Sus scrofa: one gene and its partner. The protein of the gene in region 2 purifies or fractionates together with the protein of the main gene of each other region. This does not show direct contact. Links are inferred from orthologs where the notes say so. Each region holds a gene or a part of one and is shown on either strand. Other genes may lie near its edges. The genes, in order: UBXN8 and TBC1D15.

Region 1 (15,353 bases), on a different chromosome or scaffold from region 2:
TAGCCTGGGAACCTCCATATGCCGCGGGAGCGGCCCAAGAAATAGCAACAATAACAACAACAACAACAAAAAAGGACAAAAAGACAAAAAAAAAAAAAAATACTACTCAAAGCAATCTACAGATTTCAGTGCAATCCTTCACAAAATCCCTAAGCCCTTTTTTGCAGAAATGAAAGGCCAATCCGTAAACTCAAACAGAATTGGAAAGGGTCCCCATAGACAAAACTACTGAAAAAGAAGAACAAAGTAGGAGGACGCATACTTCCTGATTTCAAAACTTACTAAAGGAGTTCCCATCAGGGCGGAAGCAGAAATGAATCCAACTACAAACCATGTGGTTTCCGGTTTGATCCTGGCCTCGCTCAGGAGGTTAAGGATCCGGCGTTGCCGTGAGCTGTTGTGTAGATTGCAGAGGAGGCTTGGATCTGGAGTTGCTGTGGCTCTGGCATAGGCCGGCAGCAACAGCTCCAATTTGACCCCTAGCCTGGGAACCTCCATGTGCCGCGGGTGTGGCCCCAGAAAAAGATTTAAAAAAAAAAAAAAAAGCTAAAACTATACAACAATTGGAATATAGAGGTAAATTTTCATGAATTTAGATTTGGCAATGGATTCTGAGATTATGACACCAAAAGCATGAGTAACAAAAGATATGAAAACTAGACTTCCATCAAAATTAAAAATTTCTGTGCATCAAAGGCCATTATAAAAAGACTACAAAGCAATCCAAAGACTAGGAGAAAATACTTGCAAATCAGGTATCTGATAAGAATTCAATACCCAGAATACATAAAAAAACTCCTATAGTTCAACAAAAAGAAGACAACCCAATTTAAAAATGGGCAAAGACCTTAGATATTTTTCCAGAGAAGATATACAAATGTCCAACATGCACATGAAAATTTGTTCAACATTATTAGTCATTAGGGAAATGCAAGTCAAAACCACGTAATACCATTTCATATGCTTTACGACGCGTATGCGGGGGGTGAGGAGCGTGGAAATAAATGCTGTTGAGGAAGTAGAAACTCAGACCCTCAGAAACTACTGGTGGGAATATAAAATGGTATAGCTTATGTGCAAAATAGTTTGGCAATTCCTCAGAAAATTAATACATAGAATTAACATGTTACCTTGCAATTCCATTCTATGTATACACCCAAAAGAACTGAAAACAGTACTCAAGTATCTGCACACAAATATTCAGAGCAGCACTATTAATAGCCAAAAGGTGGAAATAACCTAAATGTCCATCAATAAAGGATAAACAAATTATGACCCATGGATACAGTGAAATATCATTCATCCATGAAAAGGAATGAAGTAGTGATACATGCTACATGAATGAACCCTGGAAAACATCATGCAAGTGAAAGAAGCCAGACACAATATGTCACATGTTGTATGATTCCATTTATATGAATTATCCAGAATAGATCCATCCAAACAGAAAGCAGAGGATGAGATGGAAGAAATGGGGAAAGGAGAAGTAATTGTTTAATGGGTACAGGGTTTTCTTCTGGGGTGAAGAAAATGTTTTGGAACTAGACAGAGGTAATGATTGTACAAGATTGTGAATATTCTGAATCATACAATTTAAGATGGTTAATTTTATGTCATGTGAATTTGACCTCGTTGATATAAAAAAGCTGGGAGTTCCCGTTGTGGCTCAGTCGTTAATGAATCTGACTAGCATCCATGAGGAGGCAGGTTCGATCCCTGGCCTTGCTCAGTGGGTGAAAGGATCCGGTGTTGCCGTGAGCTGTGGTGTAAGTCGCAGATGTAGTTTGGATCTCAAGTTGCTGTGGCTGTGGGATAGGCCAGCAGCTATAGCTCCAACTGGACCCCAAGCCTGGGAACTTTCATATGCCACAGGTGTAGTTCTACAATGCAAAAATTTAAAAATTAAAATAATAACAATAAAAATCTGAACACAAACACATAAACCAACAGACCTAAATTTGAAATGTCTGTATTCTCTATTCCCCCAAAAGTAGCTTTACCTTTTCACCTTGTGCCTCTTGTTGTTTTTTCCTCACAAGTTTTTGCTTTTTCTCATTCTTCTCTTCTTCTTCTTCTAAGACACCAAAACATAAAAGTGCTTTTTTTTTTAATTCCTCAGTATTGGTAAAGTTGAATGCTATCTTCTCTGAAAGTACTCTGTAGATCTTAACATTTTGGGGGAAACAAGCCTTAAAAAAAATATGCTGCATTTTTCAAATAATGAAAATGAAATACACACAGACAGTTGAAACAAAGAAATCCACAAGCAAGATCTGTAAAGAAAAGGTCTGTTCTGAGATGAAAATTCTCTGACATGTAGTAATATTGTGTTACAGCTTTGGTGAGGAGGCTTCAAGAATAATGATGTGGATTTTTTTCCTGCAGCCACCTACAGCATTTCAGCAGCTCCAAGATAAAGCATGGAAGCCCATTCTCACACGAGGTGCGGTATGCTATGCTGCAGCCACTGGTCACCCCTGGAAATGACAGTAAAAGCAACATGCCTAGATCCCAAAGACAGGGTGTGGCTGGCAACTCCTATAGTAACTGAACCAATATTAGTTTATAATCTACTGAATGTCAAGAGAAGGGATTTCTGCTATTGTATAGACCTTTTTGGAGGGCGGGGGTAGAATAAATTTCATTTAAGTTAATTTCATTTAATTGTATTCTCCCAAAGAATTATGAATCTTTTAAATATATCCCTAAAGAGTTCTTGTCTTGGTGCAGCAGAAATGAATCTGACTAGGAACCATGAGGTTGGGGGTTGGATCCCTGGCCTCGCTCAGTAGGTTAAGGATCGGGCATGGCTGTGAGCTGTGGTATAGGTCGAAGACGCAGCTCAGAACTGGCGTTGCTGTGGCTCTGGAGTAGGCCAGCAACAACAGCTCTAAATAGACCCCTAGCCTAGCACCCTCCATATGCTGCGGGTGCGGCCCTAAAAAGACAAAAGACCAAAAAAAAAAAAAAAATCAGTCAATCAATTCAATCCTTGAATAGGAGCATTCCTTTCTGTCAACAGCTTTACTTGTTTCTTGGCAGCAGATATTTCCTCAAGATTATTAAGGAAGGAGTTCCCGTCGTGGCGCAGTGGTTAACGAATCCGACTAGGAACCATGAGGTTGCGGTTCGTCCCTGCCTTGCTCAGTGGGTGATAATCCGGGTGCCGTGAGCTGTGGTGTAGGTGCAGACGCGGCTCGATCCATGTTGCTGTGGCTCTGCGTAGGCTGCAGCTACAGCTCCGATTGACCCTAGCCTGGAACCTCCATATGCGCAGGAGCGCCAAAGAAATAGCAAAAAAAAAAAAAAAAAAAGAGACAAGATTATTAAGGAAAAGTTAGGGCAGTAAAGCACAAAGAAAATCAGAAGGTCCAGTCTGGCCTCTAACTTGCTAGGTGATCAAACTTAGTGATCTGAATCAAAGAATATATACATATTTTTTTCTTTCAGTTTTAATGATATAATTGACAGTCATCACTGTGTAAGTTGAAGGTGTACAGCATAACGATGTGATTTACATACATCATGAAATGTTTACCACAGTAGGTTTAGTGAAGATCCAAGATCTCATATAGACACAACATTAAAGAAATAAAAACAATTTTTTTCCTTGTGATGAAAATTCTTAGGATTTATTCTCTTAACAACTTTCATATATAATGTACAGCAGTGTCACTAATATTTATCATATTGTACCTTATATCCCTACTATGGACTGATTACTAAATTAATTAGCACTAGGGATTAAGTACTAAATTAGTACTACTAATTTAGTTTGTTTTTGGGGGGGTTGCACCCATGGCATGTGGAAGTTTCCAGGCCAGAGATCAAACCCACACCACAGCAACTACTCAAAGCCGCTGCAATGACAACACCGGATCCTTAACCCACTGCACCATAAGGGAACTTCCTAAGTTTGCATCTTTTGACTACTTTCATCCAATTCCCCCCTCCCCTCATCACTTGCCTTTGGTAATCAAAAATCTTATCTTTTTCTATGAGTTTGTTTCTTCCTCCCCCCCCCCTTTTCAGCCACATTCAAGGCATAAGGAACCTCCCAGGCCAGGGATCACATCCGCGCCACAGCTGTGACCCACGCCACAGCTGTGGCAACACGGGATCTTTAACCCACTGTGTTGGGCCAGGGGTCAAACTGGCAACGCCGCAGAGACGGTGGAAAATCTGACAATAATTAGGCATTATGTACAGTCTTAATTACTTATTAGACAGTTTTTGTCTTCAGTGATGATTACATCTCAAAATTATCAAACCATAAATGTTTCCGAAATGACTTGCACTTCAATATAAAGGTACAACTTAAAGTATGAAAACTATGGCAAGTGCATATTTCCCTTATTTGTAAAACACAGAATGGAGTTCTTGTTGTGGTTAGCAAATCAAGGACCCGACATTATCTTTGTAAGGATGCAGGTTCGATCCCTGGCCTGGCTCAATTGGTTAAGGATCTGGCATTGCCATAAACAGCAGCACAGGTTGCAAACATGGCTCAGTTCCTCTGTTGCCATGGCTGTGGCCACAGTTGCAGCTCCAATTCAACCCCTGGCCTGGGATCTTCCATATGCAGGCATAAAAAGAAAAACAAAACAAAATAAAACACAGAATATTTGCCCATAGTCTAATCTATGCAGCAAATATCTTCCCCATACCAAAATACACTTAATACAAAGTTTTTAAGAGAAGTTACAACGAGTCATTTAAATCTTCCAACTGAGTACTTTGAAGTATAAAAGATCAAATAATATACTAAAAGAAGAAAAAAATTTCCAAAAATCTATGATTGGGAGACCCTGAAACATCCACACTGTCATTTATGTTTGGGTTGAATAGTGTAACCTTTTAGGATTATGTTTTCATTCACAGTTAGTTTGAAAGGGCTATAAATTAAACACTGCTGATTTTCCTTTCATTTATTTACATTTAAATAAACAGTAAAACAAAACATAATGCACCAAATTCACTACTGACAAACTTTTTTTTTTTTTTTGTCTTTTGTCTTTTGTCTTTTTAGGGCCACACCTGCAGCATATGGAGGTTCCCAGGCTAGGGGTCGAATCAGAGCTACAGCTCTGACCTATGCCACAGCCACAGCAAGGGGGGATCCAAGCCACATCTGCAACCTACACCACAGCTCATGGCAATGCTGGATCCTTAACCCACTGAGCGAGGCCAGGAGTCAAACCTGCGTTCTCACATATGCTAGTCAGGTTTGTGAATCGCTGAGCCACGACAGGAACTCCCTTCTTTCTAATAGGATATAAGAATGTAGTCATTACTTTTAAGATTTATCTGTCCTGAGGTGAATTACAATATTGTTCTAAAAGGTCTGTAACACAAACTTTTACTTACAAAAAACAAAATGAAAATAAGAACAAGCATGATTTCCTAAAATTAAGAATGCTTAACTATATATTAAGTGTGAAAATAAAAACTACCAGAATGTAATAAAAAATAAATTATCTTTAACTCTTTTTTTTTTCCTGGTGTGCCAGCAGCATATGGAAGATCCTGGACCAGGGATCAAACCTGCACCACAGCAGTGGCCTGATCCTTAACCCACTACACTACAAAAGTACTCCAAATTTTCTTTAACTCTTAACAGTAGATACATTTACCATCTGTCGAATAGTTTATAAGCTCTAAGTACCAAATAGCAGTTAGTGCTCCATTAACACAGAGGCAATTTAAAATTAGAGAATTTGGAGTTCCTGCTGTGGTGCAATGGGGTCAGCAGTGTCTCTGCAGCACCAAGTCTCGGGTTTGATCCCTGGCCGGCATAGTGGGTTCAAGGATCTGGCATTGCCTCATCTGCAGTATAGATTGCAACTGTGGCCTAGACCTGATCCCTGGCCCAGGAACTCCATGTGCCTCGGGGTGGCCAAAAAAAGAAAACAAAAACAAAAACAAACAAGAGAATTTGCAGAATATCAGTTAGAAATGATAGTTTCAAATGTATATATAATAAAAATGTACAATTTCTCATAATATTGCAATTTATAGCCCATTTGAAATCGTAACTAAAGTAATGACTACTATCCTTGAAATTACACAGCAAAAAGTAATGGTAAAATAGTTCTCATTTTGCCAAGTTCTAGAATAAATAAAGGAAAGAAATTTCAGTAGAAAACTCTAAAAGAGTAGCATAAACTATAAACTTACCTTTCAGATAAACTTGGGTAGATTTAAACGAGTTAATCCATGAGGTAGCCACCGAAATAATTAATGTAAGAAGAGCAAGCAGTAAGAAAATCCGGCCACATAGCAAAATAAGATCTTTGATTCCTTAACAAGGTTAAAAAAATTACAATTAAAATTTAAAACAATTTTTCTTGGAACTAATAATAAGTACTAATATATTAGCAGATTATTTGTACCAGAACAATATAATAATAAAAGTTAAGGTATGCAACTGTCTTATAATATTTCATATAATTTTCCTGTGGTGCCAAAATTCATCACGACTGTCATTACCAGAACAAGTTTTCAAAAAATGATTCTAGAACATCTTTCAGGAATATAAGTGAATGGCTACATTATAAATATATGACTATCAATAATGCAGAAATCTTGGTTTTCCTTCTGCCCCAAGAAGGAAAGAAAATTATCCACATTAATTGGGAACTAAATCATGATGGTATGTATCATCTTATCAAATTCTATTTAAAATCAGTCACTCCCACTGAACACAAATTCTTATTTCTCACAGTTAAGTTATGCAACTGTGTACTTCTCTAGTTCTCAATGTTTATTCTGTCATTTGTAAATAAAATTACTATATACATATCTGCCCAAAAAAGGGAAAATTCAGTACTTGGTTTTGTATGATTTTGAGAGCCAAGATGAAAATTAATCAGCAAAAAATGTAACAAGTACCTACTGTGTGTAATACAATTTGTTAATGATGAGGGATCCTGGATAAGAAGTTGGAATAAAAATGGTTTCTATCCTCTAGGAATTTTTAGTTTTATTTTATAATTCTCAAAAGACACCAGGTAGAGGTATGCCAACAGTTGCTGTACCTTCGATTTGACCCCTAGCCCAAGAACTTACTAAAGCCACAGGTGTAGCCCCAGAAAGGAAAAAAAGAAAAAAAAAAGGGGAGAGAGAAGAGAGACACCCTATAGTCAAATCTGCCAAGAACAACAGAAACCTAATTTGCCTCACTGCTTCCGCTATACCTTCCTTGCAAAACACTTGTCCACAAAGAATCCAGACTTTTTAAAACCTTAGGGAAGTCCCTTAACCTCCCTATATCTGTTTCCACTGTAAAATAGGTTAGAGCAGTGCGCATCCTCAAAGTTTGTAAACCAATTTAGAGGAGATAATAACCACGACTTAAGAGTCTAGTTTACAATAAGCGTTCAATGAATGCTATTATCATGCGCCACTCTCTCTACTAGTCTCTTTAATCCAGCCTCAAAGGTCTTCATCCTTTTCCTTCAAGTCACAATTCCTTTTGTCTGGAATGTCATCCCGCTCCCTCCACCTCCCGCCCTCGCTTTTCAAACGTGTGGCTCCTTATCATTTAAGTCTCTTAAATTCTTCAGAAGGCCTACATCAGCTTGTTTATTTCCTTTTGAGCACTCAACACAATGTGAAAGTCAAGTATATGCTTGCTCCTGTGCTTTCGGCCTCTGTCCCATTACCCGCAAAACTTCACCAGATCTGGAGGGGCACTTTTCCGCCAAGAGTTTGCCTCCCCAGGACGGCAAAAGTCTCGCTCCACCAGGAACCCCGCGGGGGAAGAGGAAGGCAGGCGCGGTGCAGCCTGGGCATCGTAGTCAAAGCCGCCCAGAGGAGACGCGGCCGGGAAATTGCACGTAGTGTTCGTGAGACTGTTACCAGGTGTGAACGCCAGGAGGCAAAAGCCAGCACTTACCTAGATCTGGGACCCCACGCCGGAGCTCCAGACACAAGAGGGGGAGAGCAGAGAGGAGGAAAATGCCAACCACCCCAAGAGAAACCATAGCGGCGGAAGCGCTGCTTCCTGGCGGAAGCTCCGCCCCTTCTGATTACGCCTCCCTTGGAAGGTGGAGTGGATCCTTTCTAAGGGAGGAATTCCAGGAAAGCGCTGGACCCTAAAGCTGTTTCGTTGGTGAGACTGAGATAAACCCAGGCTTTTGAACTCATAATCTGTAACCTGAAAACAAGTGTAGGTCACCTCCCGACGTCACGTGAGGTCCAGGGGAGACGGCCTCGCTGGCACCCGCCCAGCCAAGTCCTGTGAAAGCAAAACTTGGGCTCCTTCGAGGCGGGCAGCCCCTGCCCCTTCGGCTGTCAGACTGTAGAGATTGTAAGAAAGAACTCTAAAGAGTAAAATGAAACAGAGGAGAAAGGATAGGGGCAGCTGATACTACAAGGAGGCAGCCTGTGCCCTTGGCCTATGTCTGTAGTGGGTGATTGTGGACTTTTGAGTCAGAGCTGTTGAGCACCACTTTCTGCCGAAGAACCTTCCTTATCTTCCAAACGGTCCCCGGCACCTTCCTCGGTCTCTGGTTCCGACGGGAAGATGACTCAAAAGTGAGGCCTGGCACCTAATTATGGAGACCCGCTACCCCTTGCTCCGCTCCTTATCAGTTTTGCTAGCAGGTGTTACTGTTAATGACTTAACACGGCCTCCCAGTTCTGTGACCTCATTGCCATCCTATGACTCATCTCTTTGGCGTTTCTGCCAACCCCGATGCGTGTAAGCTACAGAGATCTCTTAAAAGATTTCGTGAGGGAGATTTCGCAGTGGTTAACGAATCCGACTAGGAACCATGAAGTTGCGGGTTCGGTCCCTGCCCTTGCTCAGTGGGTTAACGATCCCGCGTTGCCTTGAGCTGTGGTGTAGGTTGCAGACGCGGCTCGGATCCGCTCCGATTAGACCCCTAGCCTGGGAACCTCCATATGCTGCAGAAGCGGCCCAAAGAAATAGCAAAAAGACAAAAAAAAAAAGATTTCGTGGGAGTTGCCATCATAATCCGACTAGTATCTGGTTCTGATCCCTGGCCTCACTCAGTGGGTCAGGAATCCAGCCTTCCCTTGAGCTTTGGTGTAGGTCGCAGACCTGGCTGGGATCCTGCGTTGCTGTGGCTGTGGTGTAGGCCAGCAGCTGTAGCTCCAATTGGACCCCTAGCGTGGGAACTTCCATATGCCTGGGACGCAGCCCTAAAATAAAATAAAAGTTTTCGTGCTTTGAAAGTTGGTTTTGTGACCCTTCCATCAGTTCTGCCTCACCCTTCAGTTTAGTTCAGCTAACATTTATTTAGCTCCACAATTTGCCTGGCACTGTAGAACTCATAGAGACTCAAGTATGTGTAAGTTTTGTCCTTGAGAAACTCAGTTCGTGGGAAAGACAGCCCTGTAAAGAGAAAAATACAGCGCTTGTGTGCTGTGAGAGGTACACAGGGAGCTATGTACCCAAGTGAGGGCTTGGGGAAAGGCTTTCCCAAAGGAAATCGTGTCTAAATTATTTTGTAAAGGTTAGGAATTGGGGAAAAGGGCAAGAGATTTGAAGTTTGACAAACTATGAATGTAGAGGAACTACCAACAGTTAAAATATTGCAATTTCAACTTTGAATGGAAGAGTGTAGAAGTAGGTTGGAGCCAGGACCAAGGGAGCTTGGCTTGGTATATAGGCTAAGAACGTTATCCTAGAATTCAAGGTGCAGACTATGAGTGCACAATCTCAAAATCGATCTGGGTAAAGTACTATAAATTATGTGACATACCAATTAAACAATTAATTACATTGACTCATTAAAACGTTTTCATTTGCTGTCCACATGAAGACAGGAAAGAGTTCTACAGCGGTTACCATCTTCATTTTGGTATGATTTCCTCCTTTAGGTATTTTTCTTCCTCTTTTTATATTCCTAATTGAATCTGTTGATGGCACCAATAAATCTCTATCAGGACAGTAAAGTAGAGGCTCCCACATACTCTAGATTTGCTTAGGGCCATAAACATTTCCCAAAACTTTATTGATTATGAAGTCTCTTCACTGTAATTGTCTACTTTTAACCTCCACCCGACACCCAAGACCATTAGAATAACCTATTAAAGCAAAATCAAATTTCCACTTACTGCATTAAAGGAGAACACTTTTGTGACAAAATCTTTGTAGTGTCTCAGAGGGGAAGTCAAGAGTGATTTTTATAGGCTTTTTGGAGTCTCCACTGGAATAGTTTTAGGTGGCCTTTTCGATGTGGGGATGTCATTGGTTGGGATTAGACATAGTGTGTGGTATAATAGTTTAGGGATGGTGGATGCAGCAAGAGGTGGGACTTGAAGGCAGGTGTGGTCCCTTTTTGATAAGGTGATTTGCCCAGTTGTGTGATCAATCCAACTTCTCAGTGCCTGGAGAGGATGAGCAACCTGTTGTTCAGATAAATGGATTTTCAGGAAGTTTCTAAAGCTAACAATGAAGAAACATACTGATTTATAGCCTATCCTCGTTGGTAAGAATACCCTAAAACAAATAATAAAGTCATGTTGATTGAGGTAAGATCAAGCAGTTTTGTTTGTTTTTGTTTTTTTGGCTGCACCTGTGGCATGTGGAAGTTCCCAGGCCAGGGACTTCCACATGCCATAGCAGCAACCCCCAGCTGCTGCAGATCCTCAACCTGCTATGCCAAAAGGGAACTCCATCATGTCATAGTTTTTAATGATAATTAAGCTATGGCTATACATCTCAGTTCTCACAATAAAGTCTTTTGGAATACCCTTAGGTATTAAATAAGAAGGGATTTTTAAATCTTGATAGTTTATATTAAGCCATACTCTATTATAAATATTGGTTTTTTTTCTTTCTTTCTTTTTTTTTGGTTGTGCCCATGGCATGTGGAATTTCCTGGCCTCGGGATTGAACCTGCCTCCACAGCCCCGAGCCCAGCCGCTGCGATGACAGAATTGGATCCTTAACCCACTGTGCCACAAGAGAACTCCTTTATTAACATTCTTAAGACATAAATTTCACATTTTTCTTATTTAACAAGTAGAGCTACTTGTTTTCTTTCTTTCTTTCCTCCTTTCTTTTTTTTTTTGTCTTTTTAGGGCCACAGCAGAGGCATATGGAGGTTCCCAGGTCAAGGTCAAATGAGAGCTGCAGCTGCTGGCCTACACCACAGCTCACGGCAATGCCAGATCCTTAACTCGCTGATCGAGGCCAGGGATTGAACCCACAACCTCATTGTTCCTAGTCGGATTCATTTCCTCTGGGCCACAACGGGAACTCCTGTTTTCTTTATGTATAGGAAAAGTAGGACTGTCAACACATTTTAAAATTATATATACTTATATTTGGTTAGGAGGTGACAAATGTTTATTAAAATGTAGCCTGAAATTGATTAAGTGTATCCAAAGTGCTTTTGTAACCTACCATTTGGAATTTTTGCATTAAAAAAAAAATCAACTAGTGGAGTTCCCTGGTGGCCTACTGGGTTAAGTGTCTAGCATCATTGCTGTGGCTTGGTTCACTCCTGTGGTTCAGGTTCAATTCCTGGCCCAGGAACTTCCACATACCACAGGAGAAGCCAAAAAAAAAAATTTTTTTTAGTTAAGTTTTTTGATATCAAATTATGAAAATTTTAAGGTAAAAACATGAAAAAACTTCACAATAATTATCCATATACTCAGCACCACATTTTTTTTCTTTTTTCTCTGCTCCTGCAGCATATGGAAGTTCCTGGGTCAGGGCTCAACTTCAAGCCACAGCTTTGATTTATACTGCAGCTGCCGCAAGGCCAGATTCTTGCTCCACTGTGCCAGACCAGGGATAGAACCAGCACCTCCTCAGAGACAAGTCAGATCCTCAACCCACTGTTACGCAGCAGGAACTCTACTCTTTTCTTATTTTGATGCATGTAACTTTTTTTTTTCTTTTTATGGCCACAGTTGCAGCATATGGAAGTTCCAGGCTAGGGGTCAATTCAGAGCTGCAACTGAGACCTATGCCACAGCCACAGCAACAACAGATCCACACCAAATCTATGACTTACTCTGCAGTTTGTGGCAACGCCAGATCCTTAATCCACTGAGTAAGGCCAGGGCTTGAACCCACATTCTTAAGGAGACTACGTCACATCCTTAATCCACTGAGTCACAATGGGAGCTCCTTGATGAATTTCAAAGTTAGAGACTTTAGTATACTTCCCCCAAAATACTTCAATGTGCATATCATTAATGATATCATATGCATATGCATACTTTATATGATATATATACTTCAGCATGCATATCATTAACTACAATGAAATACACATATCTTTTTTTTTTTTTTTTTGGCTGTGCATGCAGCATGTGGAAATTCCTGGGCTAGGGATTGAACCCATGCCACAGCAGTAACAACATCAGATCCTTAACCCCTGAGCCACCAGGGCTCCCTGAAATGCACACATCTTAACTCTACCATCCCTTAAGTTCCAATACAAGCACTTTTTTTTTTTTGTCTTTTTAGGACCGCACCCAAGGCCTATGGAAGTTCCCAGGCTAGAAGTTGAATTGGAGCTGTAGATGCCAGCCTACACCACAGCCACAGCAATTTGGGATCTGAGCCACACCTGTGACCATACACAGCTCAGGGCAATGCTGGTCCTTAACCCACTGAGCAAGGCCAGGGATTGAACCCGATTCCCCATGGCTAATAGTTGGGTTCGTTACTGCTGAGCCACTACGAGAACTCCTAATACTAGCACTTTTAAAATATCAACTGAGGAATGCTAAAAAATTTGGAGTTTATTTGAGCAAAAAGTGATTCAAATCAGGCAGCATCCAATGTAGTGGATAAAAAGGAGCTCTGAGGAATTCCTGTCATGGCTCAGCAATTAACAAACCCAAATAGCATCTATGAGGACGAGGTTTGATCCCTGGCCTCGCTCAGTTGGTTGAGGATCCCGCATTGCTGTGAGCTGTGGTGTGGGTCGTAGACACAGCTTGGATCCTGTGTTGCTGTGGCTCTGGTGTAGGCCAGCGGCTGCAGCTTCAATTGAGCCCCTAGCCTGGGCACCTCCAAGTGCCTCAGGTATGGCCCTAAAAAAAAAAGACAAAGGAAAAAAAGGAGCTCTGAGGATCTGTACATAAAGAAAGACTTTTCTACCCAGAAGGGAACAGAAACAAGGAAGTTATTCTAGGCAAAAAAGTGGGTTGGTAATTACAAGGTTACTTTCCTGTAGTGATGGCAGGGATCCAACAAGCAGATTAGCTAACTAGTGCTGGTCAGGTGACTCAATTTCTGGGAGAGCCAAATTCTCCATTTGGTGATGTGGCTTACCATAAGCAACTCCATTTTGAACCTCTTGTCTCCTTACAGCATTTACCAATGCAACCCTAACAAGATACAAAATTTTGCCCAGAAAGTAACCACTGTTCTGATTTTTTCCCCCATAATAGATTATTTTGCCTCCTCTAGGACTTCTATAAATAGAATTATGCCAAATGTACTGTTTGGGAGTTCCCTGGATCTGGTGCTGTCACCGCTGTAGCTCAGTTTACTGCTGTGGTATGGGTTTGATCCCTGGCCCAGGAACTTCTGCATACCTTAGGCAGTGCCAAAAAAAAAAAAAAAAAAAAAAAAATACTCTTGGATTAGGCTTTGTATACACATCATAATTGTTTTTTTTTTTCACAGCCATACCTGAGGCACATGGAAATTCGAGGCTGGGGGTTAAACCAGGGCTGTAGCTGAGGCCCACATCACAGCCATGGCAACATCAGATCCAAGTCACATCTGCGAACTACACTGAAGCTTGAGGTGATGCCATACCCATAACCTACTGAGTGAGGCCAGGTATCAAGCCTGCATCCTCACGGACACCATGTTGTGCTTTTAACCTGCTGATCCACAGTGGGAAGTCCACATTGTAATTTTTTAAACTTTTTATTTTGAGGTAATTATAGGTTCATATAGAGTTACGGGAAATAATACAGAGAGATCATGTGCATCCTCAGTTTCCCCCAGTGGCAAATTCATGCATAACTATAGTATGTTATCATAAATAAGAAATTTATATTGAAACAGACTGGATTTTACCAGTTTTACATATACTCACAGTGTGTGTGTGTGTATTTAGTTGTACTCAATATTATCACCTGTGTTGATTCATGTGACCACCCCAATCAAGGTACAGAATCATTCCATCACAAGAATCGCCCATGCTACCCTTTTACATCCATAGTCACCTCATTTTCTATCCTTCACCACCACCAAACCCTAGGTAACCACTAATCTGTTCTCCATCTAAGTTTGTCATTTCAAGAATGTTACGTAAGAGGAATCATACAGCATTCATTACCTACAGTGAAATGCATGCATTGTAACTGTACCATTCCTTGAGTTCCAATATAAGCACTGTTAAAAGATAATCTGAGATTTACTAAACATTTTGTGTGTGTGTGTGTGTCTTTTTAGGGCCACATCCTCTGCATATGGAAGTTCCCAGGCTAAGGTTGAATCAGAGCTGCAACTGCCAGCCTACACCACAGCAACTCAGGATCTGAGCCACGTCTGTGACCTACACCACGGATCACAGCAATGCCGGATCCTTAACCCACTGAACAGGGCAAGGGATCAAACCCGAATCCTCATGGCTACTAGTCTGGTTCATTACCACTGAGCCATAAGGGGAACTCCTGGGGTGTATTAAAATTATTAAGACTGGCTTTTGAGACTTTTTTTTACTCCATACAATCCCCTTGAGATCCAAACGAGTTATGTGTATCGTTATGTATTCTTTTTATTGCTAGATAGGATCCCTCGGTATGAATGCACCATAGTTTGATTAACCACTCTCTTTGAAGGACATCTAGGTTGCTTCCAGATTTCGCTATTATGAATAAAGATGCTGTAAACATTTGTTTATAAGTTCTTGTAGGACCTTAAGTTTTCATTTCTTTGGGTTGAATGCCCAAGGACACAATTGCTTGCAGTCTTACACAATAAATAAACAAATGGTTATGGCTGTGTTCCAATAAAACTTTATTTACAAAAATAGTCCATGAGCTGGATATGGCCTATAGACCATAGTTTTCTGACCCTTTATCTGAGGCATTTAAGAGACCCACAAAAGAGTCATACTTTAGGAGTTCCCGCCGTGGGCAGTGGTTAATGAATACAGCTAGGAACCGTGAGGTTGCGGGTTCGATCCCTGGCCTTGCTCAATCCCTCCACCGTTGCCAAGAGCTATGGTGGAGGTCAAAGACACAGCTCAGATCCCAAGTTGCTGTGGCTCTGGCGTAGGCCAGAGGCTATAGCTCTGATTAGACCCCTAGCCTGGGAACCACCATATGCCTGGGAGGGGCCCTAGAAAAGGCAAAAAAAAAAAAAAAAAAAAAAAGTCATACTTTAGGTGCTAAAC
Region 2 (15,610 bases):
TAAGCAATGAAGCTGAGAAGGAAACATTTGATGCTGGGTAGTATGTGCCTTGATAGGAGAAAATAAGAATACCTCCTCGGGCTTCAACAATAATTCCATTTCTCAACGGTTAGCTTTGTTATGATTCTGAGATAGATGGAAACATTTTATGAATAATCAGCTGTTTGGGAAGCTATTTTTTTACTATTTGCCTAACAGGTCTTTCAATTCCAAAGCATCATAGCGTCAGAGAAAAAAAATATGGTATGTACAGGCTGTCACTGAGATAGAAACAACTGACGCTCAAAAACTCCCTATATATAAACATGCCTCAGGTTTGAAGTTTTTATTAGTTTTTCAATAGCTCTTTATTGCTTTTGTAGCTCAATTTTACAATTCTATTAGTAGAGACTCTTTTGCCTATCACCACTATGATGAAGAATTGTGGAGAAGCCTTCCAGGAGAAAGATTGATATCCTAGTTGATGCTTAAAGGATGAGAAGCCATTTCCTAGTTGAAATGGGTATGTTTGCGAATGGAAAGCAAGGGCATGCCAGGCTGAAGGGACCTCATCAGCAAAGGAAGAAATAGCATAGTGTTTGGAGAACCACAAGCAGTTTGGGGTCATTAGAGTATAAAGTTCTGCAGAGAATGGTGAACTTAAGGAAGGATTCTGGATTTCATCCCCTCAATGTTGATGAAAAATTAGCAGACGGTTTATGGGGTTAATGACACTGTGGTTTAGAAAAGAAAAAGGAAAGATTAAGAAGGTCACTGTGCTTCATTGTGGGAGAAAGAGTAGCAGGGAATATTTTAGGCAGAGAGTACAAGGAAGTTGCTGCAATCATTCATGAGGGAGATGACAGTGACCTTCCATATAACAGGCAACCAGAGAGCTATTACTTTTCTTTATTTTTACGGCCACACCTGTGGCATATGGAAGTTCCTGGTCTAGGGGTCAAATTGGACCTACAGCTGCTGGTCTATGCCACAGTCACGGCAACACCAGATCCTCAATACACTGAGTGAGGCCAGGGATCAAACCTGCCTCTTCATGGACATTATGTCCGGTTCTTTACTGAGCCACAACGGGAACTTCAAGAGAGCTATTGCTTTTCGATTACACTGAGGGTTGAACAAAATCTTCCATCTCAACTGTACATATAGTATTGCAGATGTACAGACTATCTACCCAATAGCCATTTCCCTCTTTTTCTTTGCTAAGTGTATTCTGGTATGGAGAGCCATATACTTTGGGACCCTACCACATTGCCTGTCCTATACTAATTTAGGAATGAGGATGAGATGCAATTCTAGCCAATAAGATTTGAAAGAATAACTCCTGAGATCTTTTCATTAGCCTTAAAAAAGGATCCCATGAAAGAAACTTTCTTCTGGGCCATTGCATGCTTTCAAAGAAGGATATGATTAATGGGGCTGCTGCAGCCATTTTGAAACTGAGTGGACAGTTTTGAATAAAAGCCAGCATTCTGAAAATGAAGGAGCAGAAATATGGCAAGAGAATGGATCTTTGATGACTATGTTGAGGTTAGTTAATCAACCCTGAAACTGCCCTGTATTTTGGGGTTTTTTGGTTTTCTTTTTTTTTGCTTTTTAGGGCCACACCTGTGGCATGTGTAAGTTCCCATGCTAGGGGTCGAATTGGAGCTACAGCTGCCGGCCTACACCACAGCCACAGCAACGCTGGATCCAAGCTGCATCTGTGAACTACACCACAGCTCACAGCAACTCCAGATCATTAACCCACTGAGTGAGGCTAGGGATCGAACCCGCAACCTCATGGTTCCTAATCGGATTTGTTTCTGCTGTGCCACAACAGGAACTCTTGAAACTGCCCTATCTTTTTAATTTTTGCTATGTGAGACAAAACAGAAGCAGCTAATTTAATATATTTTTATTTGGATTGTTTGCTACTTGCAGCCAAAGGATTCCTGATATACACATGAAAATATATAACAATTAAAAATATCTAATATACATATAAACTTTGGAAAATTTCAAAAAAAAATGTACAGGGAGTTTCCATACACTTTCACCCAGTTTTTTTCCAATGATAACTTTTTTTTTTTGGCTTTTTAGGGCCTCACCTGTGGCATATGGAGGTTCCCAGGCTAGAGGGAGAATCAGAGTGACAGCTGCCAGCCTACACCACAGCCACAGCAACACAGGATCCGAGCTGTGTCTGCAACCTACACCACAGCTCTTGGCAATGCTGGATCCATACCCACTGAACGAGGCCAGGGATTGAAACTGCAACTTCATGGTTACTAGTCAGATTTGTTTTCGCTGCACCACAGTGGGAACTCCCCAGTGATAACATTTTATATAAATATAGTACAATATTAAAACCAGGAAATTGACTTTGGTACAACCCATAGAATTTACTCAGATTTCAGCGGTTTTACATGCACTTACATTTCATCCGTTGTACGTGTGTGAATAGTGAGTATAGTATTACCATTTTACCACGTGTGTTGATTCATATAACTATCACTATGATCAAGATACAGAGCTGTTCCATCACCAAGAAGTTTCCTTGTGCTATCCCTTTATAAAAGCCACTCCTCCTCCTTTTTCCTTCCTCCCCAATCCCTGACCCCTGGAAATACGAGTCTGTTCTCCATGTCCATAATTTTGCTATTTCAAAAATACTATAAAATTGGAATCATGTACCATGTAACCATTTGTGATATTTTCCCCACTCAGCATAATTTTCTTGATCCATTCAAGCTGCTGCCTGTATCATGAGCTCATTCCTTTTTATTGCTGTGCTGTATCTCATGGTATGGATATGCCATAGTTTGTTTAATCATTTATCTGTTGGAGTTCCCGTCATGGCGCGGCAGAAACAAATCCAACTAGGAACTGTGAAGTTTCGGGTTCAATCCCTGTCCTCGCTCAGTGGGTTAAGGATCCCATGTTGCCGTGAGCTGTGGTGTAGGTCGCAGACGTGGCTCGGATCTGGCCTTGCTGTGGCTCTGGCGTAGGCCTGCGGCTACAGCTCTGATTAAACTCCTAGCCTGGGAACCTCCATATGCTGTGAGTGTAGCTCCGAAAAGACAAAAAGACAAAAAAAAAAAAAAAAATCATTTATCTCTTAAAGGACATGGGGTGTTTCCAGCTTTTACTATTAAAAATAAACATTAATGTACAGGTTTGGGTATGTACATAGTTTATATTTCCTTAGGATAAATGCCCAAGTGTACATATACTTGGTCATGTGGTAAGCGTATGTTTAGTGTTATAAGAAACTGCCAAACTATTTTCCAGAGTGGCTGTACCATTTTATATTCCCACCAGCAATGTGTTAGTGATCTAGCTTCTCCACATTCTTACAAGGATTTGGTGTTACAGTTATTTTTAATTTTAGTCATTCTATTAAGTATGTAGTGATATTTCATTGTAGCTTTAGTCTGCATTTCCCTAATGATTAATGAAGTTGAACATTTTTAGATGCTTATTTTTTGCCACCTTTATATCCTCTTTAGTGAAATGTCTGTTTATATCCGTGATAGGAAGAACATGGCCTTCCAAAGATATTGTGCCAAATCCCCAGAACTTCAAGAACATGTTACTTTACACAGCAACGATTGTTTGCTGATATGATTAAAGGTATAGACCTTGAGATGGGGAGACTGTCAAGAATTATCCAGATGGGCTTCATCTAATTTCATGAGTCCTTAAGAGGAGAACCTTTCAGAGGGAGATGTGACTAAGGAAGAAAGATCAGAGATGCAGAGATTACACAGAGGTAGAATGTTGCTAGTTCTGAAGATGGAGAGAGAAGTCCAGGAGCCAAGAAATGCCCATGACATCTAGAAGCTGGAAAGGCAAGAAAACAGATTTTCCTCTAAGAGCCTCCAGAAAGGGCTGTGGTCAGCCCTGCTGACTCCTTCATCTTAGGCCAATGAGACCTGTGATGTCTAACTGTAAGAAAAAGTACGTTTTTTCAGCAACTAAGTTTGTGGTAATTTGCTACAACAGCAATAGAAAAATAGGAGTTCCAGTTGTGGCATAGCAGGTTAAGAACCAATATAGTGTCCATAAGGATGTGGGTTCCATCCCTGACCTTGCTCAGTGGGTTAAAAATCTGGTGTTGCCGCAAACTGCAGCATAGGTCGAAGGTGTGGCTTAGATCCCAGTGTTGCCATGGCTGTGGCGTAAGCCAGCAGCTGCAACTCCCATTTGATCTCTGGCCTGGGAACTTTCATATGCTGCAGGTGTGGCCATAAAAAGAAAAAAAGGAAGGAAGGAAAAAAAGGAAGGAAATGCAATCTCTTTTGCCCATTTTCTAATTGGATTATTTTTTCTTTAATGTTGAGTTTTGGGAGTTCTCCATATACTCTAGGTATTTGTCCTTTAGGATACACGTTTGCAAATATTTTACCCTGATTTGCAGCTTGTTTTTTTCAGCCTTTACAAGGTGTTTTTTTTTTTTTTTAACCATTTAAGAATTTTAATACAGAACGATAACACAGCTTAGAAAAATACAATAATGGGCTCATCAAAAGGAAGAATAGACTCTGCATGTGTCTGTTTACAGTCCTCTGACTCCAGACATTCTCACCTGGAAAATTCAACATCTGGTGGTCTGCCCTGGAGAGGCTGTGTCCTCAGCACCCCCTACCTCATGGAGGAGAGCCCCTCTCCCCTGCTTATGCAGGGTCATCTGCTTAAGTCAGGCCACAGCCATAATCATTCATTCCAGAAGGGACTGTGATTCACATCTGAGCTTGGTGTTAGTTTAATTTAAAGGGGAGAAGAAAACAAAATATAATGCTTAGATGCTGACAGTTTCTTCAGACCTCTATCTGCATTCATTTTGCTTTCAGAGCATTTGATTTGTTTTTTCTTTTTCTCTTAATGAATTTTATTACATTTATAGTTGTACAACAATCATCACAACCAAAATTTATAGCATTTCCATCCCAAATCCTTTACAAAGAGAGCAAATTTTAAAAATTTTGATGAAGTCCAGTTTATTGATTTTTTCTTTATGGATTGTGATTTTGATGTCAAGTCTAAGAACTCTTCTTAATCCTAGATCCTGAATTTTCTCTCTTGTTTTTCTAATTATTTAAAAAACTGTGGTAAAAATACGTAACATAATATTGGTCATTTCGGCCATTTTAAAATGTACAATTTAGTGGCCTTAAGTGCATTTACATTTTGTGTAGCCATCACTACCATTCATCTCACCATCCCAAACTGAAACTCCACACCAATTAAACAATGACTCCTATTTTCCCTCACCAGCCTCCAACCCCTAGACCACTAGTCTACCTTCTTATGCTTTGACTATTCTTGGTACCTCATGTAAGTAGAGTCATACACTGTTTGCCATTTCGTGGCTGGCTCATTTCACTTAGCATAATGCTTTTTTAGGGCTTATCCATGTTGTAGTATTTAATTTAATTTCTAAGACTGAATGGTATTCCATTGCATGTACATACGATATTCTATTTATCCATTTACCTGCTGATGGCTTTGGGGGTTGTTTCAAATTTTGGCTATTGTGAATAATGCTTGTAGACAATACACTGGTATACAAATACCTGTCTCTAAAATCCAGAAGTGAAATTGCTGGATTTTATGGCAATTCTGCGTGCTTTTTTGAGGAACTGCCATACTGTTTTCCACAGTGGCTGCATCATTTTATATTCCTAACAGAAATGCCCTCAAGATTCTCTTTTGTATTGTACCCCCGTGTTTGTTTCCTGTTTTTTTAGATTCCATATGTTGCTCTCCTGTAATTAACAGCTTTCTTATCCTGCCACACAGCCTCCACTTGCTTCCTAAGAAAGGGTGTGTAAGAGATACAATTTTTTTGAACTTGAGTATCTGAAAATGTATTGTTTTGATCTTACACTCGATTATTTGATTGAGTATAACATTCTAGGTTAAAAATATTTTCAATGTTTATACTCCATTGCCCTAGAGCATCCAGTGCTTTCACTGGCAAGTTCAAAGATATATTTATTCTTTACCCTTTCATGTAACATATTTTTTTTTTCCTTTTGCTCTGTGCAAGTTTTTACAATCTTTTGATTCCTATTGTTCTGAAATGTCACAATTATGTCCCTTGCTGTTGGTCTTTCTCTTCCATTATGCTTGGCACTTGGTAGGCTGATTTGGTTTGAAAATGCACATCTGACATTTCTGGGAAAAATTGTGAATTATTTATTTAGTAATTTCCTCTCCCCATATTCTCTGCTTTCTCTCCTTTATTTGGATTTAGATATCCTGTTGTAATCTACTAATTGTCTTAACTTTTCTCTCTTATTTCCATAGCTTTGTCCTTTTGTTTTACTTTCTGGAACATTTCCTTAGTTTATCTTTCAATCCATTTCTGGATTTTTTTCATTTATGTTATATTTTTAATTTATAGGAGCTCATTTTGGTTCCCTAAATAGCTCTCTTACATGGCCTTTTATTCCTGTTTCATAGATGTAAAGTCTTCTCTCATCTCTTTAAAGGTAATTAAAACTTTTTTTTTTGTTCTCTGCATTGTTTGTCTTAAATTGCTTATTTGCTGGTTTGTTCATTTTGGTCTCTGCCTTTCAGGTTAAAGGTTTTCTTCAAATGTGAAGTGATCCATGATTATGTTCATATTTAAGAGACTGGAACTAAAAGCTGATTGGAAGTTTTAGATATATGAGGGGGTTGCTGCTTTTTATTGTTTGCGGTAGAATGATATGGTTGGGTCTTTTTCAATGGTGTCCCAACTATCAGTACTTACAGGTCTTATTTCTTCAGCTGGTTAATTTATCCCATGAGAACTCCTGCAATCTCTTGGTTGTCAGCTATGTTTTCTTCATGGCACTGCCTTGCACAGTTACGCATTAAAAGTTTTTAGTCTGACTTTTATAAGAGTTTAGGCAAGGTAAGTATCAATGAGTGGTGGCAAAATTGGGAGAATCTTAATAAATGATGTGTGACATGGGATAAGCCCTGAAACACTGAGAGGTCAGTCAGAAACTGAAGTGAGAGAGAATCAAACTGAACAGGTAATTAAATGCTGTAGTTTAACGAGAGAAGTGATCACTTTCAGATGACTGTACAGGTAGCACAGCTGACTAAGGCACATATCTCTAATGAGGTCTCTATTCAGCCATAAAGCAGCTTATGACTGTAGCATATCCCTAAAAGAATTTTTCTGTCACCGAAGCCCCACCTAGATCCAAAGTTTCTTTAAAGGACTTCTTATGATTCTTTTCCACCTTATGACTTTTTTTTTTTTTTTTTTTTTCTTTTCAGAGCCACACCTGTGGCGTATGGAAGTTCCCAGACTAGGGGTCAAATGGGAGCTGCAGCTGCAGGCCTATACCACAGACACCACAGACACAGACACAGCAGCGCAGGATCCCAGCTACATCTGCGACCTATGCCGCAGCTTGTGGCAATTTTTTCTCTAACCACACCCTATTACTCTGAGCTGGTGGGAAATTTAATCTGGGTCATTATTAGGGCTCTACACACCACGCCTAGAATTGCGTGAAGGTTCTAGGGGATCTTACCTAGTCCTGTGTATGCAGGGAAGGCCCTCAAGTCTTCACTCAATGTTAGTTACTGCTAATATACTAATTTCCCCAGCTCATTTATCCTTTGCAGGTGAGCTGCTTTACCAGTTGAATACCAAGCTTGGGCATGGGGGCTTGGCTGTCGTTAGAATCTCTGATGCAGCCTCCCTAATAGGACTACACATCCATTTCCATCAAAGATCTTGCCACCTCCTTCTCCCATCAGGTTCCCAAGATTCACAGAACCAGCAAACCTCCTCTTCTGCTATTTCCTTAGGTTGCCACTTAACGAACCTCAAAAGCCTCTATACTCATGCCGCCCTGTGAAAAGAGAAGTACCTCAAAGGACACGGTGTTTTGCTACAAAGGGACCTTTTATTACTCCCTGAGGCAAAGGAAGCCCCAGAGCTTCTGTCAGAGCCATCATGGGTAGTATCCAATAATTTCCTGACATTCTTTTACTGCCCTGAGAACAAAAATAAATTATCTTACTATCTCAACAAATCAATTTACCACATATACATCGTCCCAAGAAATCTTTACAACCACTCCATGGGTAATTCTCGCTCTAATTCCTGAAGCTTGGATGAATTTATAAACTTGTTGCAAGTCACACAGCTATTAAGCAATCGTGTAGGAGCCATGAGCTATATGTGTTGGACTCTGGGACAACGAGGGCATGGTATTATCGCAGTTCCTATCAAAATACCTTGCCCATGGTTGTGCGTGAGTGGCAGTTATCAGACTCAACTTCAGAAACTTCACACAGAGGCGAAAAATTCCTGCGTGTGTGCGTCGGAGACCTGGCTGGGGTCCCTTTAATCTCCACCACAGCCCTATCTCAAGTTTACAGATGAGCTGCCAGAGACTGAAGGTAGAAGTGAAAAGCCAGGAGTTCCCGTCGTGGCTCAGCGATTAACGAATCCGACTAGGAACCATGAGGTTTCCGGTTCAATTCCTGGCCTTGCTCAGTGGGTTAAGGATCCTGCACTGCTGTGAGCTGTGGTGTAGGTTGCAGACGCGGCTCGGATCCCGCATTGCTGTGGTTCTGGCGTAGGCCGGTCCAATTCGACCCCTAGCCTGGGAACCTCCATATGCCACGGGAGCAGCCCTAGAAAAGGCAAAAAAAAAAAAAAAAAAAGACAGAAGTGAAAAGTGTCCACAAAGACCAAATTTCCTGAATCCGAATAGTCTGTACTTTCTTCATACCAACGGCTCAGAGCCTTGCCCCCAAGCAAACCCCAAAGCAAAAATACTTCAACTTACGTTCCCCGCTCGGAAAATAAATTGGCACATGCGCAGTATACACCAGAGACTCCACCCGAAGCCTCCGAGCCCTACTCTGTACGCTCGCCTCGGGTCTCTCCTCCCACCCCGCCCCTTCACTCACCGCAGTTCCCGCCACTCCCCGCCCCTTTCCCGCCCGGATATCAGCCTAGTTTTGCCGGATGTTGTTGTGAGTCTGAGAGACACGTGAGGCGCTGCTACGTCATCACAGACACGCGCAGGAAACATGGCGGCGGCGGGTGTTGTGAGCGGGAAGGTAAGTAACGGCCCCGGGGAACAGTCGTGTTTTTCTCCCGGATGGGGCCGTATTGCTGCTTGGAGGCTGGCGGGGAGGGTCGCGAGGGCTTCTCTGTATCAGATCAGACTGTGGAGGATGTAGAAGAGGGCTAGGTGGTGTCAGATGTTTTCTCCAGAGTACTCGCTCAGCCCGGGAATTAGAGACCCAGCTCCTGCTCCAAGGCCAGCTAGGCCTTGGCGCTGTTCATGTCTGTTCTGCCCAAGGATGAGGGGGCTTTTATTTGTAGTACTTTTCCTAAGGGACGGGTGGTTGTCCTCTTACTTTTTCGTTTTTTTCGACTGTCTCGGTTTTTTCCTGATTGGTTCCTTATGTGTCTACTCCAGCGTTTTTTCTCTCTTCCTTTGAGGCTTTACTCAGACTTGCCTCTGTCTTCCTCTGCCTTACTCTGGTGAAGGCATCTTTGTCCCCTTCAGGAAGAGCTGAAAATAGGTGCTTTGCAGCTGTGCACTTAGGAGACTGTATTGGATCCATTTTACCGGATTGCGGAGTTGGTTGGTCGTTGTGAGCAGCAGCACACATTTCCACGTTCAGGGAGCTGTAGATTTACACCATCCCACGCTTGTCTTTGGAAGGCATTAGTTAAGATATTTCTTTCCTAGATATCTCTGTGATGCTTCCGTGGGAGGATTTGTGGTGCGGTTTTATGGAGGTGGTCTTTGACCTCCAGGTAGTTTGTTTGGAATTAGGATTAGGTGCGGAGGATATTTTATCGCACAGTGCCTGTCATGTTCCGAGGGCACATCTTAATTCCTGCTAGTTAGCACTATCAGGGCATGCCACTGACAGCATTTCCCATTGCGGGAGTAATTTGTAAACAGTTGAATCGGGTAATGACTCATCTAACACTAATAGCTTCCTCTGTTCCTTGAGTTGCACTCATTTTCTTTATTTTTGCCCTCTCCTCATCCCATTTTGAATTATTTGACAGCATGTGTAGTTTAGTGTCTGGACTGCTAGACTAGGCGGCAGAATAACACATCACAGTTACTCTTAAGTGTGACCTTGGGAAATTGAGCAAGCATGACTTCTCTGTCCTTCATATTCTTTGTCTCCAGAATGGATGTCATGCCAGTCATTATTTCTTGTATTGGAGTTGTTAGGATTATATGAAATAATAAAAGCATTAACATGAAGATTACATATTTCTACATACTGAGTGTTTTAAATGATGGGCTGGTCATCGTTTTGAGATCTTTGGTTGTCTTGTCAGTTTTACTCTTCAGGATGGATGCTGATCTTCTTGGCTCACTGCATATTTCGAGGTTATACTGTTTGATTTTCTGTCTGGACTGAGCCAATCTAGGACTTTCCAAGGAGGGATCCTTTCTGTTTGAACTACACTTCTCTTTTTCAGGTGTGGATTGATTTTTTTTTTTTTTTTTTTTTTTGGTCCCACCCACAGCATGTGGAAGTTCCTGGGCCAGGGATCATACCCGAGTTGCTGCTTCAGTGACAGTGCAGGATCCTTAACCTGCTGCATGGTGTGAATTGATTTTGATAGGTCTCTTGAGATGATGAAGTAGAATTGTGAAATATAAGACTTTTTTCACCCTTTGCTTCCATCCACTGCCTTTCATGATCTGACTTCTTAGTCTTTTATTTCTTAACTCTACTTCATCACCTCATCTATTCTCATTGCAAATTTACACCCATTCCCATCACTCCACCTAAACTATTTTTCTATTACCCAAAGCTGCTCCTCTTCCAAGTAGTTCTATGATAACCAGCGAAACCAACTTATTCTTCCCTCAGCAAGTTCAGATCTAGTTTAATGGCATCATCATTCACCTGGTTTCATGTAAAACAAACTTGAAGACGTACATTTCTATAACAATATCTAATCAATACCAAGTCCTGCCCGTTTTCCCTTAAAGAGGTTTCTTAAATTTGCTGCATCCTCTTCATTCTCAGTGCTTAGATCATGCAGGCAGACATTTAGTCTTGAGTCCTTGGCTGATTTTTCTCCTTGTCTATAGTCTCTTTGTCCACAGTCCCCTCTCTACACAACCACTGGAATTATTTTCTATTCACAAGTCTGATTGTCTCTTGCTTAAAAAAACAAAGCTTGGTTTTGTTATGTCACTATTAAAATAATACTTAAGGCAATAGTTAACACAGCATGAAAAGCCATGTTGCCTTTCTGGCTTTATCTTATGCTTCCCTATTTCCCAGTCTGGTTTTTTTTTTGGGAAAAGGGAATAGCAAAGAACACACACGTATTTATGAGAGGGAATGTGTATGTGTTTCTTTGTATTTATTTATCTCCCCTATTCCATTCCAAAGGTTCAGCTAAGACCTAGTGTAACTTAGCAACCTAGGGCGGTGAACGTTCACCAAGGCTCCCAAGAATCATATGTGGTACTTTAAAATATATATAGCCATATACAGTTCTGCTCTGTTGAATTAGAACCTCTTGCTGTTGAGATCTAAGATGTAGAGTAACTCTTCTACTAAGTCTACTTTGCTTGCTTCGAACTTTTAGTGTAGGAAGTGATGCAGGGAGGACGTTAATCTCTGTGCAGTGCAGAAGCAGTGCCAATGCCAGATCCTTAACCCACAGGAGAACTTCCTAGAACCATATGTTTTAATAGTCAACCAAATGAGGGGAATGAGTGACATTCTTACGTGATTTTTTTTTTCTTGGCTGTAATCTTTTTTCCCCCAGTTTTATTGAGAAATGATTGACATACATCACTGTGTAAGTTTAAGGTGTACAGCGTGATGGTTTGATTTATATATATTGTGAAATGATTACCACAATAGATTCAGTTAACATCAGTCTTCTTGTCATAGATCCTCTTGTGAATATTGAGGTGAGATATAGCGACACTGCCTGTAAAGGCTATCCTGCTTTAGGATAATTAATGGAATGATTAATCACAGAGAAGGCAGAAGAAAAGGGATAGTCTGAAATAGGTTTCACCCTTACACCCAGTATCTCTGATGGTTGCAGCGTACTTTTATTCATTTATTCAACAAATATTTATTAAGCACCTGCTTTCTTCCAGGTACTGTTTTAGGCATTGGGGATGCATCATATAGCCCCTTACCTTGGAAATTACAGACTTTAGTTCTTCAGAAGGAACACACTCACTAAAACCTACTCCTTTACCTTGTTGAAATAAGAAAGTTTCAAGTCCTTGCAGTGGTGCGATTTTTATTTACTTATTTTTTTTACTTTATTTATTTTTAATTTTTAATTTCTGGTGCTATTTTTATTTATTTCTTTTTCTGGAATTTAAGTATTTTATTGTACTTGGCATTTCTACACATAATGATGTGGATTCAGAGACTGAAAGCATTAAAGGTATATAATTAAAATTCATGGGCTTAGACATAAACATAATTTTTAATATTTAGACTTGTCTAACAGATATTCCAGAAAAATAAATTGGAATATAAATACAATGTAAAATCTCCTTTGGATTTCTCCTCTGCCTAAGCAGCATTATATAACATAGACAGTTAATTCCAAAACACTTGTATGTACTTGATAGCCTCAGGAAGATATAATGAAAAAAATCTAAATAAATGAGGCTAAGAGAACTATGGTACTATGCATAAGGAACAAAAACTTATGAATTTCTCTATTCCTAAGGATTTCTAAAACCTACCTTCCCAATTTCAAGGGCAAATTTACTCAAGAGAAAGATAAACATGTCAGCTACACAACATTCATAGCTTTATTGATAGGGTATAGCCATTATGCCAGAATCCAGCCATCGATATATGTCATTTCCCATCTAAAATTATATTTATTTATTTATTTATTTTTGTCTTTTTGCCATGTCTTGGGCTGCTCCCCAGGCATATGGAGATTCCCAGGCTAGGGGTCGAATCGGAGCTGTAGCCGCCGGCCTACGCCACAGCCACAGCAACGCGGGATGCGAGCCGTGTCTGCAACCTACACCATAGGTCACGGCAACACTGGGGATCCTTAACCCGCTGAGCAAGGCCAGGGATCAAACAGGCAACCTCATGGTTCCTAGTCAAATTCATTAACCACTGAGCCACGATGGGAACTCCTAAAATTATATTTAACTTTAAATGGAATTTAGTGGCAAAGTGCCAAGAATTCAAGAATAACCTTAAAGTCTTAATTTTATATTTCAAATATATTAATTTTATACTTTAAATATATAAAAAAATAATTCCCTAAATAAAAGCATAACAAAATAACTACACAGAAAAATGAACATTAAAGTCGCCTCACTCTTTATTATGTAGTGAAAAACAAATGTATTTATAACTTCAGCATAGTCCATAAAATCGTTATTCATCAAAAATAGACAGATATTTACAAAGAACATTTAACTTAGATGTTGTAGTTTCTCATAAAATGGCACTTGAAAGATAGACCTATATAAGGAAATAAGAGTCTTGCCAAGAGAGATGGTAAACTGTACATATAAAATATACCACTATGTTGGGAGTTCCAGTCATGGCTCATTGGAAAAGAATCAGACTAGGAACCATGAGGTTGCAAGTTCAATCCCTGCCCTTGCTCCAGTGGGCTAAGGGTCTGGCATTGCCGTGAGCTATGGTGTAGGTCGCAGATGTAGCTCGGATCTGGCATTGCTGTGGCTGTGGTGTAGGCTGGCAGCTGTAGCTTGGATTAGAACCTCTATATGATGTGGGTATGGCCCTAAAAAGCAAAAAAAAAAAAAAAAAAAAAAAAAAATGTATATATATATATATATGTGTGTGTGTGTGTGTGTATATATGTGTATATATATGTGTATATATATATGTGTATGTATATATATATGTGTGTGTGTGTGTGTTTATATATGTATGTGTATACCACTATGTTAAAAACTTCATATTGTTCTTTAGGGTAGTCGATAAAGATAATCTTTTTTGGGGAGAGGTATTTAGTGTATTCATTCATTCATTCATTCATTCATTCATGCCACCCTGCAGTCTATGGAGTTCCCTGGCCAGGGATCAGATCTGAGCTGTAGTTGGGACGCACACTGCCGCCATGGCAACACCTGGACCCTTAACCCACTGTGCTTGGCCAGGGATCTAACCTGTGTCCTGGCACTGCAGAGTTGCTGCAGATCCTGTTGAGCCACAGGATTACAAATTTAAAATGCAAATTTTATATATGAATTCAGTATCTTTAAACCTTACATTGCCACTTAATCATCATCTGTTTTGTGGAAAACAATGAAAATGATGTACTTTTTGAATGTGTACATCAAAACCAAGAGGTTAATTTTTACTTTATCCTGTGTTGGCAACTTTGTATGCATTTTTAGGTTTTGGCTCCCAGAGGGCATTTTTTTACAAATCTTGAAGCCACACTTCTGTGCAGTTTGCCAGCCTTTTTCTTTTCTGTTATTTTCTCGACTCTGTTCATGTATACTCTCATCCTTCCAATTCCTGTTTACTGGATGTTCCTTATGATTAACTCCCTGAATTGCCACATAAACCCAAAACATTGAATTTAATAATGTATAAGCAGAAACTAATTACACTTTCCCTTATTCAAGAGGGCCCCACTTCTTCAACAACTCATTTCTAGAAACAGACATTATGGTCTTCAGCATCTTATCCACAACCCCAGTGGAATTCTCAGATGTTGATAAGTACTGGATAGTCTTCATTGATTTCTTCACCTGCCGTTATGACCAACTCCCAGGCCTTCCACTCCTGCCTCCAGGAAAATGGTGCTGTTAGTGAATATAGACTTGTAGATGGGCTAATCCTCATGAGAACAGGGCCTGAAATGTTTCTTCTGTATCTGGCATAGAGTCTGGCACATAGTAGGTCTTCAACAAAGAGGAAAGAGCAAGAAAGTATAAAAGGAGTTCCTGTAATGGCTCATCAGGTTAAGAACCTGATTAGTGTCCGTGAGAATACGAGTTTGATCTCTGGCCTCACTCAGTGGGTCAACGATCCGGCATTGCCACAAGGTGTGGCATAGGTCGAGGATGTGGCTTGGATCTGGTGTTGCTGTAGCTGTATTGTAGGCAGGTACCTGCAGCCCAGATTCAATCCCTAGCCTGGAAACCTCCATATGCTGTGGCTACAGCCCTAAAAAAACAGGAAAAAAAAAAAAAAAAAAAAAAGAAAGAAAGAAAAAAAATGGGGGGAGGTCTAGAGTGAGGAAGATGAGTTCTCTAATTGTGATGTTTTGGAGTTAAAAAGTCCTATTTTAGTATACTTGTATTTTATTGTAGTTACGTGTTTTTATTGTGATTGTGTTAGAATTTGGTTCTATTGAAAATAACTTGAAATAACTGGGGAATCCCTTGTTATTTTTTCTTTGAGGTTTTGTTTTGTGTTTTTTTGGATGGCCATGCCCATGGCATGTGAAAGATCCTGGGCCAGGGCTTGAATCTGTGTCACAGCAGTGACATGAGCTGCTACAATGATAACGTTGGATCCTTTACGCACTGAGCTGTAAGGGAACTCCTTTGAGTTTTTTCGAAGGCATTCTTAGTAAGAATTTATTTTGTAGCTTGAATTTGGCCCTTTCCAGTTTCCTTTAGATATG

What was found.
Region 1: the proteins of TBC1D15 (region 2) and UBXN8 purify together in Homo sapiens (affinity purification with mass spectrometry; 3 studies listed by BioGRID and IntAct, counting the BioPlex papers as one, with this or other methods). This does not show direct contact. The link is inferred for Sus scrofa from reciprocal best matches to the Homo sapiens genes TBC1D15 and UBXN8.

Annotation. Positions count from the first base shown.
Region 1 is NC_010457.5:54,359,612-54,374,964, forward strand, and holds the start of UBXN8 (UBX domain-containing protein 8), read right to left. Parts: upstream 7,991-15,353; 5' UTR 7,986-7,990; coding exon of another isoform or gene 7,898-7,985; intron 6,301-7,897; coding exon of another isoform or gene 6,178-6,300; intron 2,478-6,177; 5' UTR 2,211-2,477; coding exon 2,001-2,210; intron 1-2,000. UniProt on the Homo sapiens protein: Involved in endoplasmic reticulum-associated degradation (ERAD) for misfolded lumenal proteins, possibly by tethering VCP to the endoplasmic reticulum membrane. May play a role in reproduction.
Region 2 is NC_010447.5:35,818,453-35,834,062, forward strand, and holds the start of TBC1D15 (TBC1 domain family member 15), read left to right. Parts: upstream 1-8,932; 5' UTR 8,933-9,033; coding exon 9,034-9,063; intron 9,064-14,322; exon of another isoform or gene 14,323-14,823; intron 14,824-15,610. UniProt on the Homo sapiens protein: Acts as a GTPase activating protein for RAB7A. Does not act on RAB4, RAB5 or RAB6.